Linked DNA regions of Arabidopsis thaliana. The protein of the gene in region 3 interacts with the protein of the main gene of each other region in a pairwise test. Each region holds a gene or a part of one and is shown on either strand. Other genes may lie near its edges.

Evidence for each region. The genes of interacting proteins can lie anywhere in the genome.
Region 1: the proteins of SWEET7 (region 3) and ANNAT1 interact in a protein complementation assay, tested with the Arabidopsis thaliana proteins (one large-scale study listed by BioGRID).
Region 2: the proteins of SWEET7 (region 3) and ATBET12 interact in a protein complementation assay, tested with the Arabidopsis thaliana proteins (one large-scale study listed by BioGRID).

Annotation. Positions count from the first base shown.
Region 1 is NC_003070.9:13,223,321-13,227,739, reverse strand, and holds ANNAT1 (annexin 1), read right to left. Parts: upstream 2,573-4,419; 5' UTR 2,437-2,572; coding exon 2,361-2,436; intron 1,765-2,360; coding exon 1,619-1,764; intron 1,533-1,618; coding exon 801-1,532; 3' UTR 501-800; downstream 1-500. Other genes in the region: PUM9 (pumilio 9), read left to right, coding at 1-238, 312-416; AT1G35710 (kinase family with leucine-rich repeat domain-containing protein), read right to left, coding at 3,354-3,640, 3,725-4,419.
Region 2 is NC_003075.7:8,308,324-8,312,884, reverse strand, and holds ATBET12 (Target SNARE coiled-coil domain protein), read right to left. Parts: upstream 2,567-4,561; 5' UTR 2,404-2,566; coding exon 2,390-2,403; intron 2,087-2,389; coding exon 1,936-2,086; intron 1,471-1,935; coding exon 1,414-1,470; intron 1,326-1,413; coding exon 1,266-1,325; intron 1,166-1,265; coding exon 1,080-1,165; intron 972-1,079; coding exon 947-971; 3' UTR 501-946; downstream 1-500. Other genes in the region: AT4G14450 (uncharacterized protein), read right to left, coding at 2,989-3,366. UniProt on the Arabidopsis thaliana protein: Required for vesicular transport from the ER to the Golgi complex. Functions as a SNARE associated with ER-derived vesicles.
Region 3 is NC_003075.7:6,673,343-6,677,518, reverse strand, and holds SWEET7 (Nodulin MtN3 family protein), read right to left. Parts: upstream 2,626-4,176; 5' UTR 2,452-2,625; coding exon 2,403-2,451; intron 2,313-2,402; coding exon 2,276-2,312; intron 1,875-2,275; coding exon 1,493-1,874; intron 1,291-1,492; coding exon 1,171-1,290; intron 990-1,170; coding exon 801-989; 3' UTR 538-800; downstream 1-537. UniProt on the Arabidopsis thaliana protein: Mediates both low-affinity uptake and efflux of sugar across the plasma membrane.

The DNA of each region.
Region 1 (4,419 bases), on a different chromosome or scaffold from region 3:
GCAGTACTTAATAGATCAACAAGTTTCTGCAGTGAAGTTGCTGGTTCAGTTTAGAATGCACTACGCCGAGTTAGCTACTCAGAAGTTTAGTAGCCACGTGATTGAGAAGTGTCTAAGGAAGTATCCAGAGAGTCGAGCTGAGATCGTCCGTGAGCTCCTCTGTGTTCCAAACTTTGAATATCTTCTGCAAGATCCTTATGCGAACTATGTGATCCAAACTGCTCTCTCTGTAACCAAAGTAAGTCCAAATCAATACATATGTTATAAGCTTTTAGAAACAGAACTTGACATGGCTTTTGGGGTTGATGCAGGGACCTGTTCGTGCTAAATTGGTGGCGAAGGTTTACAGGTACGGGAAACTACACTCGAGCCCTTACTGCAAGAAGATTTTCTCCAAGACCATCTTGAAGAAGTGACTTTGATTAGTAACTAAAAAATGTTGTTGTTGTTATTTTGTGTTTCAAGATCGGATAGGGCTTTAGAGAAAACAATGCCCTTAACTTTTTTGTTGTTGGTCTCCCTTTTTGTAGTGACAACAACTTTTGTCAAAACCAGAACTACTTGTTAGTCTGTGTTTTAGGCCAATGCTCTTCATATATATATAACTTAAGAGACCACACTGGTTCTCTCTGTCTCTCTCTTTTGCATTATTTAGGAACTCAAAACACACAACAGAAACAAACAAGGTTTTTGTAGAAACAAAATCAAACGATTTGAAACTCATCAAAGAGAGAGAGAGGGAGATAAGAGATAACAGAAGCTGTAGAGCAGCTTATGTTTCTCTGTGGAGGATTGATTGATTAAGCATCATCTTCACCGAGAAGTGCGACGAGCATCTTCTCGTAATCTCCACGAGTGTCTTTGGTAATAGCTTTCTCCAAAGGAATGCTGTTCCTGCGCTGGTACTCCTCTCCAATGACCTTCAAGTCAATCTCAGCTCTTGTGGTCACAATTCTAGTGAGTGCTCCTTCATCAGTTCCAGTTTTGTTGATTGCTGAACGAAGAACATCGACAAAGTAAAGCTCTGGTCTTGTCAAGCACTGAATGGTTGACCTCAAAAGTGCAAGGAACTTGTCATCATCATCTCCTTCCTCAAGACTCTTGAGAATTTCCTCGCCATGATCATCTTGGTAACGGTTAAAAGTAGCATTGATCTGAGCTTTGCTTCTTGTGGACAAGATTCTAATAACATCCTCATCATTGTAGTGCTTGTCCTTGATTTTCTCATGGACCAGCTTAGCTTCTTGCTTAGCCAATGTCATGTTCACTTCATCTCCTTCGTACCTGTATGAGGTAACAAGAGAAACCAAAAGCTTTCTGAAGTCACCGGTAGTGTGGTGAGCAACGTCCTCTTCAAGAGACTTCTTGTAGCGAGCATGGTAAGCTTGCCTAGCGTGAAGCAGCTGCGTTGATGTCCTTGTGCAAGCAACTTCCATAAGAACTTGGTTGCTTGAAGTCCATCTTTTTGTAGCTTCATTAGCCAATAAAGCATCACGCTCACCGGGTTCAAGAGTCCACAACAAGATAGCTCTCTGTCCATGACCAAAAAACCAATTAGAATACAATGACTTCACACAAGATGTTTAAAAGTCGATACTTAAAAGTCCGAAAACCGAACCTCGAAATCGTTAGAGAGCTCCTTGTCAAGAGTCTTGAGAAGGTCTTCGCCGTAGGTTTCGTGGTATGCTTGCCTGATGACTTTCCTCTGTTCAGCACTTCTGTGAGCCAAGATTGATATGATCAAGTCCTCGTTCGTACCCCATCCTGCGAAAAACACGAATCAGATTCACTTTACATAACCATCAAAGTCACATACTTCAGATCCAAGTCACACACACTTCAGATCCATAATAACAGAACCGGTCAAACAGATTCACAAAATATAAATCTTAAGATCTTAGTGTTGTATTACACGTAACTACATTATAGATCTAGACTAAGAAGACAGATCTGTGACAGTGAGAATCAAAACACAACTCAATCAAGATCTCGTGTGAATGTAATCATTGTCATTATCAACATGATCAGACAATCAAAACTTCATCACTAACACAAAAGATTGTTATAGATCACACAAAGAAAGGAGATCATTGTCACTGATCCGATCCATGAAGGAACAATCTCGATCTACATCATCGTACAAATGATCATAAAACGCTACCGACACAACATTCATATCATCGGACCAAAACAAAGATCGATCCACATGAAAAACAATCAAAACAAATGATCATACAATAACCCACCAAACGAAAACCAACAGATTCACATCACTTTTACAAAAAGTGGATACTGATCATGTAAACAAGAAGGTAACAAAAACAGAGAACGTAACAAGAAGAATCATGAAACTATTATACCTTCAAAAGCGGTTCTCAATTGCTCAGCATCATCAGAAGGAGCAGGAACAGAATCAGAAACCTTAAGAGTCGCCATTTTTCTTCTACTTTTAGTGTTTTGTGTATGTTGGGAGTCGAAGCCGACACAAGATTGACTTATAAAGGGAAAGGCTAAGAGGTTTAGGACACGACGTGGCCTGTCCGTATATACCAAAAATATCCCAAACGAATTATTAATTCTTCTGCCACGTGTTTCTTACACTTTATGAATTATTTAGCATTTGCTTAACTTTATGCACAAATCATGATTTCATAAAAAACTATCGTAATCTCGCATTAACGGTTTCATTGGTTGTCACAAAATCATCCGCAAGATTATAAGTGTTTAGATTTCGTTATTATAATCCATTTTGTATTATTTTAACACGTTACAGAGTACAAGAGTGTAAGATTTTTTTATTATCACTTGCAAACGTGATGTCCATTAGAACTCATTATACAAAAAAAAACTTATTTCTTTCTTTACAAATCTCCTACTATGCATTTTTTTTTTTAATCTCCTACTATGCATAAGAAATCTCTTACTAATTCTGGCGATATACAGATAGACAGTATCCAAAACTTTATTTGAATGTTCATATGTGAGGAGTAACACAATGACCATTATCTAAAAATGCTTTTAACAGTTTTTTTTTTTTTTTTTTTTTTTTCATTTTTTTAACTTCATAGATTTCCATTAACCAAACACATTACAAGACCAAAAGGCCTAACATGGCACGCAAGCCGCAAAGATAAAAACAAACAAGGCCCAAAGACCAACAAGGGCGCAGCCCAATACATACAAAAGCTGAAGCAGGCCGAGAAGCCCAAACAACAACAACAAAAGCTGAAACGAGAGTCGACACCCCTTCCTGCAAACACAAGCAAGAACAGAGAACAAAAGCCAACAGAGATTACTGTTGCTGTATAGATAAACACAATGATAACATAGAAATTGATGGAGAAGTTCAGTTTCTAAGAAAATGTAGTGGAGATTGACAACATCGTTGGCCGAGATTCTGGATTTGCTTGTAAACACAATAAAGCCATTTCCACCATCTTCAAGAGCTTCTCTCTATTTTGTCCCCGTGGTTCTAATACACGTTCATCGGAAATGCTTCTTAGCGACAGAGCTTCTCCTGGAGACGAAGACAAACTCGATACCAAATCTCCCGGATGTTTCCCAATTATCAATTCGAGTATCAAAACCCCGAAGCTATACACATCGCATTTCTCCGTCACCTTCATCGTGTAAGCAAACTCTGTTGCGAAAAATCAAGTTCAATTTCGAATTTAGTGATTTAAATTTCATAAGCTCAAAATCAGATTTAGGGATTTAGATTTACCTGGTGCAACGTAGCCGTAGGTTCCAGCAACGGCGGACCAGTTTGATGAATCCGTCTTTAGAAGTTTTGCTGTACCAAAATCGGAGATCTTAGCTGTGTAATCGTTATCGAGAAGGATGTTTCCGCTGCTAATATCACGGTGAACGATCGGTGTTATTCGGTCATGGTGCATATACGATAAAGCGTGAGCCACACCTTTCACGACGTTGATCCTTTTGGTCCAAGTGAGTCGCTTAGCTTCTTCGTCGTTGGCTAAGAGTTTGTTTAAACTTCCTTTTTCCATGTACTCGTAGATCAGAAATGTGTGGCGGCGGTGGGAGCAGAAGCCGAAGAGCTTCACAACGTTGCGGTGACGGATCTCTGTTAATGCTTTTACCTCGTTTAGGAACTCTTGCTTCACAACTGGCTTTGATATCTCTTCGTCTATTGTGTCATGTAGTCGTTTAACGGCTATGATTGTATCTTGGAGGTTTGCTCTGTAGACTTTGCTGTATCCTCCGGTTCCGATGAGGTGTGTTGGATCGAATTCGTTTGTTGATTCGATGATATCTTGGTATTTGAATTTGCCATCAACGCTGAATATGGACATATTCTCTCCTGTTTCAGGATCTGTGTTTCTTCCATTTTGTAGTTTTCGTTTCCGAATGCAGTAGGTGAATGTGTTTGCACATATAGAGAGAATGACGAGTACTCCT
Region 2 (4,561 bases), 1.6 Mb from region 3:
CTAAAAGATCAGAAGAAATTGAAAAACTACTCCCGATTTAATAAGGTAACATTTTTTTTTTTTTACTTTTTTTCTATATATTGTGCCAGAACTCAAATGTTATCCTCTAGTAGCTATATTAAAACTCATGGTTATTTGACTATTTATCTAAACAGTAGTTTCAAGAAATTTACTATTTAGCATAGCAACCTGTTATTCACTCGTAAATTCAACATTTAAGACTATAGTTTACATAATTGTTAAGATGATTTGACCTAGAAACCGAACCATTTGGAAATGTACATGTCAACTTGTTGTCTATTACCAAACCAAAAATGAACTTGTCGATTATTGTCAACTTGTTACCTAAAGTGGAAAAAAAATCAAACTCTTCTGCATAGTAGTGTCCTGTCAACTTGTGGAATTGTTGCGAGTCGTTCAAAAATGATATTTCTCATGTTGTTACGTATTTGGATCTTTAGCAAAATGTCAATATACAGGACGGTATTTGCGCCTTAAAATTCTGAAAATTGGAAATTTTTGGAAACAAGACGCCAAGTTATCTTGTTTTTATTACAAAGTGCTAAACTTTTTTTCACAGAAAGCTAATAATTAAGCTTATCAATCAATCAATTAAGCTTTTTGTAGACAAAACTGCTAACATGAACCCAAGATCAAATAGTTGACAAATGATAAAGAAGCTTTTGCTACATTACATGAAATGACATGAGATGATTTTGCTTGTGACAAACAAGTCTCTATCAAACATTTTTTCTTTCGGTTGGTTCACTAGTCTCTTCACAATCTCTTTCTTTGTCTTGTTTCAATAGGGTTTCAATAGGGTTTCAATAGGGTCCCTTGACTTGTTTACTATGTCTGAATCATTCATTCATCAGGAGAAATCCAAAAATGGAAGTCCCAAACGAAACTATTCATTTAACACTCTACTTTCTTCTTGTATCCAAATTTACCCTTTGATGTAGTTTAATAGCCTGCAAAATCCGAAAGATTGTCAGTGTTCGAGTCAAAGAACAAGGACTTGAACCAGTCCCTAAGAAAAGTCAAGTGTTTTGATAACTATAAGAAGAAGTGTATTTTACCTAATAAGGTAATACATGATCAAGAACAGGAGCACAAAATAAGCTATGAGTTTGCAACTTTTTCGATTAGACTTCTTCTCAAAGACCTGTCGTGTTAAAATCGAGTTTTATTCAGATATAAGTTTTGATAGCGAAAAACAAAAGGGGTGATGCATATATAAAAGGTACGAAATCTTATTTACATACCAACTTGAAGCGGTTGATCGTTCCCGACATTATCCCCCTCGCGGAGTCCATTTTGTTCCCCTAGAGATACAACAACAAATAGCTTAGAAGAAAAGCATGTGATAGAGATCTACAAACTGAAACAGATGAAATCAAACTTTCAGCTTACCACTTTGTCAAGCAAGCGGTTATGATTCTCAACTTCTTCATGTATGTCTCCAGTCACCTGATAAGATATTATTACCAACTTACATCTCAGGCAAGCGTTATTGCAAACTAGATTTGACAAGAGTGAAAACAAAAAAGGCATTGTTTTCATAACTAGACTTTTCTAAGGCATTACATCATAGCTCGATCCTTGTCGTTGAGTCCGAAAGACTTATACAGGGTCTAGTGATAGCAATGCTGGAGAGAATGTTCTTAATCTACAATTTCAATACATATCTAGGAACTAAAAACTAAGTTCAATTTCTTTATATCTAGACTTTTCGAAAGCATTAGATCATCGTTCGATGCTCGAAAGATACATTTAGGGTCTCGACTTAGCAGTGCTTAAGGGACTGTTCTTTCTCAAACAATAAGGATCAGTAGCACCATCCATTTCACAATAAAGAATCACAATTCTTAATCCTAATGTTTATGCTTGTGTTGATATTTTGATTCTTTAGTTATATAGATGAAAGAAACATACTCTCTTGAGAAACGAAACTCTGTCCTGAAGATTTTCCAAAGCTTCATCATTATCACGTTCGTCATGAGCATACGAAGAAGAAGCTCTCAAGCGACCTTCTTCAAGTCCATCAAGGCCATCAAAGAGAGACGTTCTCGAAGCACGATTCTCCCTACAGAAATCAAAACCATTGGTTCTTAATCAGATCCAATTTTCTCCAATTCTAGTTGGATACACTCAATTCAAAATCTGGAAAACTGTAATTAGAACTCTAGAATTAGGTCAATGACTCAGAATCAGGAATTCGAATGTCGGTGATTCAAAAAACTAAGATTTCAGAAAGAGTGAATCTGGAGATTGTGAAGAGATCTAGATCAAATTCGATCGAGAGCAGAATCAATATCATTTGTTAAACATTGATGAATCTACATAAAAACAGGATTCGAATGCAGAGGAAGAGATCAATAGATCAAACCTTCGAAAGTTCATTTGATTCGTCTTCGATTCTACTCTCTTACGAAGGATTCAACATAACAGACGAATTTAGAGCATTGTAAAGGAAATTCTCGATTTGGATTCAATTCCAGAAGCGTAAGTTTTCGTGTTTTGTTTGCGAGAAACGTACGAAAGTTCTTACTGTACTACAAGTCCCTAGAAGAAGAAGAAGAAAATAGAATTAAATTGAATTGGGCTTACTGGGCTTTAGTTCGGCCCATATTGAATCCATGAAGTTAGTTTTTTTATTTGTTAAAAGTGAACACTTTGAAGAAATGAACTTTAAAGAAAAGTCCAACCCTAGATGTATGATGGGTTAATTTGACAATTTATTTAAAGAATTCATGCAACTATTTTCTCCATGTTTTTCCCATAATTTTGTTTCATGTGTTTTATGCATTTTTTTTTACCCATTTAGAACTTGAATTAATACTTTGTTAGTGAATAATATTATCTCTTAGAGGATAAAACTGATACAAAAACGTGAAAAATAGTTAACCGCGTGTAATATCACAGGAACAAAATTCACACGGGGCTGGTAGCTGAGTCATCAAATCTACAAAATTTTGATGAACCGTTCTAAACCTGGATGAACGGTGGGACAAACGTTGTTGGCTCGTAGCAGAACGGCGACGCGGGATGTTGCCATTTCTTGAAAACTGGTGTCTTCTTCACCTCTTCTTCCACTGGTATCTCAGTCTTGTTCTGCGGCGGAGGAACATGTGATTGGTCGAAGGATGATGTTAGAGAAGGAGCGAGCGGTGAAAGGAGAGGGATCGCCACGTTCCAGTTACTAAAAGACGTTGGTTTGATCATTAAAGACGGAGCTCGTCTCTGTAGCTGGCTAAGTTGCCTCTCGTTACTGGCCGCGGAGCTGCTTGTTCTTTGCATCGTGGACGCCATGGAGATAGATTTGTGAATTGTAGGATAATTGAGTACTTTTGTATCAAAGAACATAATAATGATGTTGGTGTGTGATGTCTGATGTTTATGTAGATGACATATATAATAAGGTGAGGAGGGCCACGACTTGTAACATGTTGACTAGGTACATTACATACACGCTTGGATATGGTCATTGGTCAGAGTTGGAGAAAGAAAATTAGCTGCTTTATCTTCCCTTTTCCCGTTTCTTTACATTTTTGTTTTGGCAATACTCTTTGACCAATTCTTTTTGAATTTTCCATGCTTGTTTTTATGTTAAAGTTCTTTTTAATATTAAATTACAAAGACATCGATCTTGTTAATGGAAGTCAAACATGTTCATGAAATGTTAAATGGTGGATGAGGTTTACCTATACAGATTCTCGTGAACATGTTCTATTGGACTTTTATAATATATATGGACCAGAGGTGAATATGAATATGAATATGTAAGTTGAGTCTAGTGCGGACAGAGCTTTACAATCTAAGCCACAAAACAAAAGAAAGCAAAAATCGGACCATGTCACGATGTGCTTAAATATGTGAGGTTTTTGCATTTTTCAGGCCAAGTCAAGTCAACTAGCCGCCTGATTAACTTCTACACGAACAAAAAAATGTAATCCAATGGTTTGTGTTAGTGTTGTCAGTGTGTCATCACCCTTATGGCCTTATTCAAACCCGCATATTGCATGTTGCTAACCAAAATATAAATAGTAAGAAAGTTAACATGATCTTGTAATATATGAGTATACTGATTTGTATTATAAGTCCCATCGTGGTGTCATTAATCGAACACAGAGCCGTCTCTAGTATTTAATAGATTGCAAGCAAAGAACAAAATTTAGACCTATTTTAATGAGTGAAAATGAAAAAATAACAAGGTAAATGAAGGTAGATGGACTCAAACTTTTGACGACCATAGGTATCTAAGAATCAAATAATCAACGTTTTTACTGAAAGTTATAAAAAAATTAGGTCAATATTTTATTTGTAGTAATTGAGGCCGCAAGCATAAATTTGGTCCTATTGCGTTCATGGACGGCTCTGATCGGACATAAATACGGTATAAAATTTTTTAAAAATAAAAGTCAATAAACAAGATAAATCTTAGTATTTATTCGGTATAAAATAAAAATCTTTGCATATTAAATAAATATTTGAATATGTATTTGAATTATAGGATCTTGTAAAATAATGATTGTTATATGTCTAGTTAACAGTTTTATCG
Region 3 (4,176 bases):
CTAGAGAAGCTGTAGAATGTAGACAAGCTTACTTTTGGGGAAAACTTTATCAAGATAACTTTGCTATTCTCTAATGGCCTGCTTACAAAGTGCATAATCATTTATTCTACTCATGTATAGAATCAGTTAGTTGCAATTGCAAAGTTTATGTGGATTAGTTTTCTTTAGGCTTTGGTTTTGATTGGTATGTCTATAAGTCCCGAATTATTTTCTTGGACCAAATAGTAGGTCCGACATAAAGCTGTGTACAAATAGTAGGTTTAAATGTTATGCGTTTGCTATATTGAAGATGTGTTTGTGTTTTTGTGAACATTGTTGTGTTTTCTTAGAGTTTGGATTTATTTGTAAATGAGGATTTGGGTTGGGATGAAAAAAGTCAATGCGTGGCTTTGACCATATGAATTTGCAACCAGGTTCTATTTGAAACATTAGAGCATTTCCAATTCTCTATAGCTTCTTCTTCCTCGGAGAAGAGAATAGCTTTTAGCTGTTTGATTTCAAAATTTGAGAGTGGAGTGAGTGAGTCACGTTGACTAATGACGACGACTAATTTATTTTAATTTAACCCCGCATAATCATAAAAGTTTGAACATTACACCAGAAACTTTGAAAAGTAGCTTATTGCTCCTCAAAAAAGGGACGTCAAAATTGCATTACAAAGTTTGAATTTTAAAACAAAGTAATGGAATTTTAGACAAAAAGAAAAACAAAGTAATGAAAGTTTCCATCTTATTCATATACTAAGAGTCTTGGATGGGAAAAAAATCCCATAATCCGAAGTTTAATAACACTAGACCAAATTAAACATTGTTAGGTTCTTGGTTGGTATTCGCGGTTTTCTCAGATCCGGTACGAGCGATCGCACTTGATAAACCGACGTAACCAGGTTGGTTTTCTCTTTCCGCCATTATTCTTTTGGTGGACTTATAGTAGGCACCATACAATATTAGTTGAGCTAGCCCAAATAAACATCCAATTCCATTTGGTATCTGCAAATACCCATTATAGAAAAACAACAGTTGTAAAATGTACAAATTGCTTAGATTTTTATTTCATGAAAATTCTTTACTCATGTACATATACATTTTTCTTTTTGTCACATAAGTAGTTAATATAGTTTTATAGGTGAAACATGAAATTATAATGAAAGAGAGTGTGAACAAAACTCACAGCCATGAATGGGTCGAAAGGCATGAGAGCATAAATTGTCCAAACGCCTGCGTTTAGAAATCCAGCTACCGATAACCAAAACGGCATGAACTCCACACTTTTTGTTTTTATTACCATTTTCTTTATATTTCATGCAAGGACAACAACAAAAAGATGAGAATGGTTAATGAAGTAGTGTTTGGTTCCTATCATCATTTAGTCAAACAAAAAATAATACATGAACCAACAAAAATAGGGAAAAGAGTTAAAGAGGAAACAATAACTTCTCTAAAAAGAACAAAAGCTTTTAAAATCTTAAACACAAAAACGAAACGTTACGTACCATAACAGACAATGGAGAAGCGTACATCATAACGTTGAAAACGCAACATACGATTCCAACACTCATAGTACGTTTTTCGGTAGTGTGTTGGAGAGTTAATACCAAAACCGCAAGAATAGCTATGAACGCGGTTTCAGCCGCTATAACAGCGGATATTATCAACCGCTGTTTTTGGCGGCCACAATAAACGAAAAAGATCGTAAGGAATACGATTTCGATCAAGATCCCTGTGCCGTTTATTGTAATGACCAATGTGCTGTCCGGATGCACCGTTGGTAGTCCGTAAAGAACCCAAACCAAACAGTTTATAAGAGTCGCTAAATACGGTATTGGTGAATATTCCTCCACTGACTTCTTTTTCACTATCCGAACAAATGTTGGCCTGATGTAATGAGACATTTATTAAAAGTATTAGTCATTTATTGATGATACATACTTTTAGTTTTTCTCTTGTTTTGGAAGAAACTCTATTACATAAATAAACTTTCTTAATTGTTATCAATTAGTATAATAGGAAAAAACATTATATTATGAGGAAAAAAGTATCAATTTTCACATTGTGATTATACTACACAAAGAAAATTTTGAAAGCTGCAGTGAGAATGAAAAACAAAAAATTTCAGATCTTTCAGTAGTCAGGATGAACCATGCATGTGTTAAATTCATGAAACAAGTTTGGTTTTCTTTAAGAAATACGATTTTCGTTTTTATGAATCTCTTTTTCACGTATCTTTCATTGTTTCTGGAATTTTATTTAAATCATAGATATAGCAAAATACTTACGTTGGTGACAAGAACAGACATAGAGCGATGAAGTTTCCTGCAAACAAGATCATCCAAAGTTAAGAAGAAGGGACAAAAAAATCATGATAGATATAATAACTTGTAGATGTCAAAATTCTGGACTAACCTATAATCCCCACAATCTTCCGAAGAAGGTTCAAATGTGCAAACACCATAATTTTGAGTGTAATTGGTGGTGATGAAGAAGAAGAAATTAATTAAATAATTTGAGAAAATAATCAGAGAAGAAGGTTGGTCGATTGGGTGGTGTTTATATAGAGCGAGATCATAGAGACCATGAATATATGACATGCATATAGGTGTGAATACAATGCATGCACCGTGTGAAAGCACCAATTCAGTAACTCTAGTTTTTTGAAATTATTTTTGGAGGTATTGAATTAAAACACACATTTATTAGACTTATATAAGGACAAATGTCTTAGTAATTATTTTATTTGTTTCTATTTAAAAGATGTTTGAAGTATTTACAGTAATTATAGATTAAGAAATCATTTAATTTAATTTGTTTGCTCTATTTAACTAAGAATAATTCAACTAATAATCAAACAAAATGTAGAATAGAAATGGTCACAACAAATACAAATAACTAATTTTGTATCAAAATTTGAATTTGTTATGTACTTTAGACATGAGTTTTTTTTTTTTTTGACAAACAGTCACTAAAGAATTATATTAGATTTTCTCACTACAATTTCAATGATAGTAGATTGGCTGATGTAAGCTTTTTAAGTATACAAATACCAGATTCGAAGCTAGTTATGAATATTAAGTACGATTATAAAACCAAAACGAAAAAGAGTATTAACGTGTCATTAAAATTTGTATACCAGTACTAAATTTCATTTGGCTTTATCTCGTTGTGCATCTTTTGTTGTGAGCTTATTTCACTGCATTTATTAGGGCACATATCAAAAAAATAAAGGAACTTAAAATGTTGTGAGATTTTTCTTCTTCTTTTATTAAGGAAAATCTGACGTTATTCAGTTTTTATTTTCTTCTAAATCTTACTATCGTAAAAGAAGAAATCATGTGGAAAAAGTTTAGCCGATTTCGAAATTGGAAGCACCACAAAACAAGCTTTTTTAGGTATTTTGATACGAAACTCTAATTTAGAAAAATCAAGGAGGAAAACTAAATGTTGTTCTTTTTATCATGCCCACTTTTCACCCAACCAAACCTCTAGTATACAACAGGCAAAATTAAGGGTTCTGTCATAGAAGAATAACATTTACTTACCGGTTGAATTACCAAGAATATGGTCAAACATTTTAACTTTTGATAAAGATGTTCAAATACTTTATACCAACAAAAATATAAGAAACTCACATTCTAGAAGAGGTTGTGAAAGAAGTCTCTCTCAAGAACATTAGGTCATTAGGTTAGTGTATATACTTGGAAATGTGAATGGATGTATGTCTACATCCATGCAACAAACAAAAAGACATCTATATGTGTGTGGATGTGTATGAAATAGTATATTATCTCTGTTTATTTCCTTGCAAGAAAGCACAAGACATCTATATTTATATACGTAACTAAATTTGATAGAAGAGACCTCTAAGAATGAAGTAAAATGACATCTACCAACACACATTTAAACGTTTATGGCATTTATTCATCTATATATACAGCATAATGCAAACATATATTTCTAAAGGAGAGTAAGTAATAATGTTTTCTTCTCTTATTTTAGTAAACAATAATTACAAAGCTTTCAACCTATAATATTATTTAGAGTCAGGATTAGAGTAGGTTTGAGGCCGTTGTCGAATTTACACGAAATCTTTTTGAAAGAGAACCTTGCAAATTAAAACATCCTTCAACTTTTCCTTAAGTTAGAAACAAAATCAAGCTAACATTGCGTATATTAAATCTAT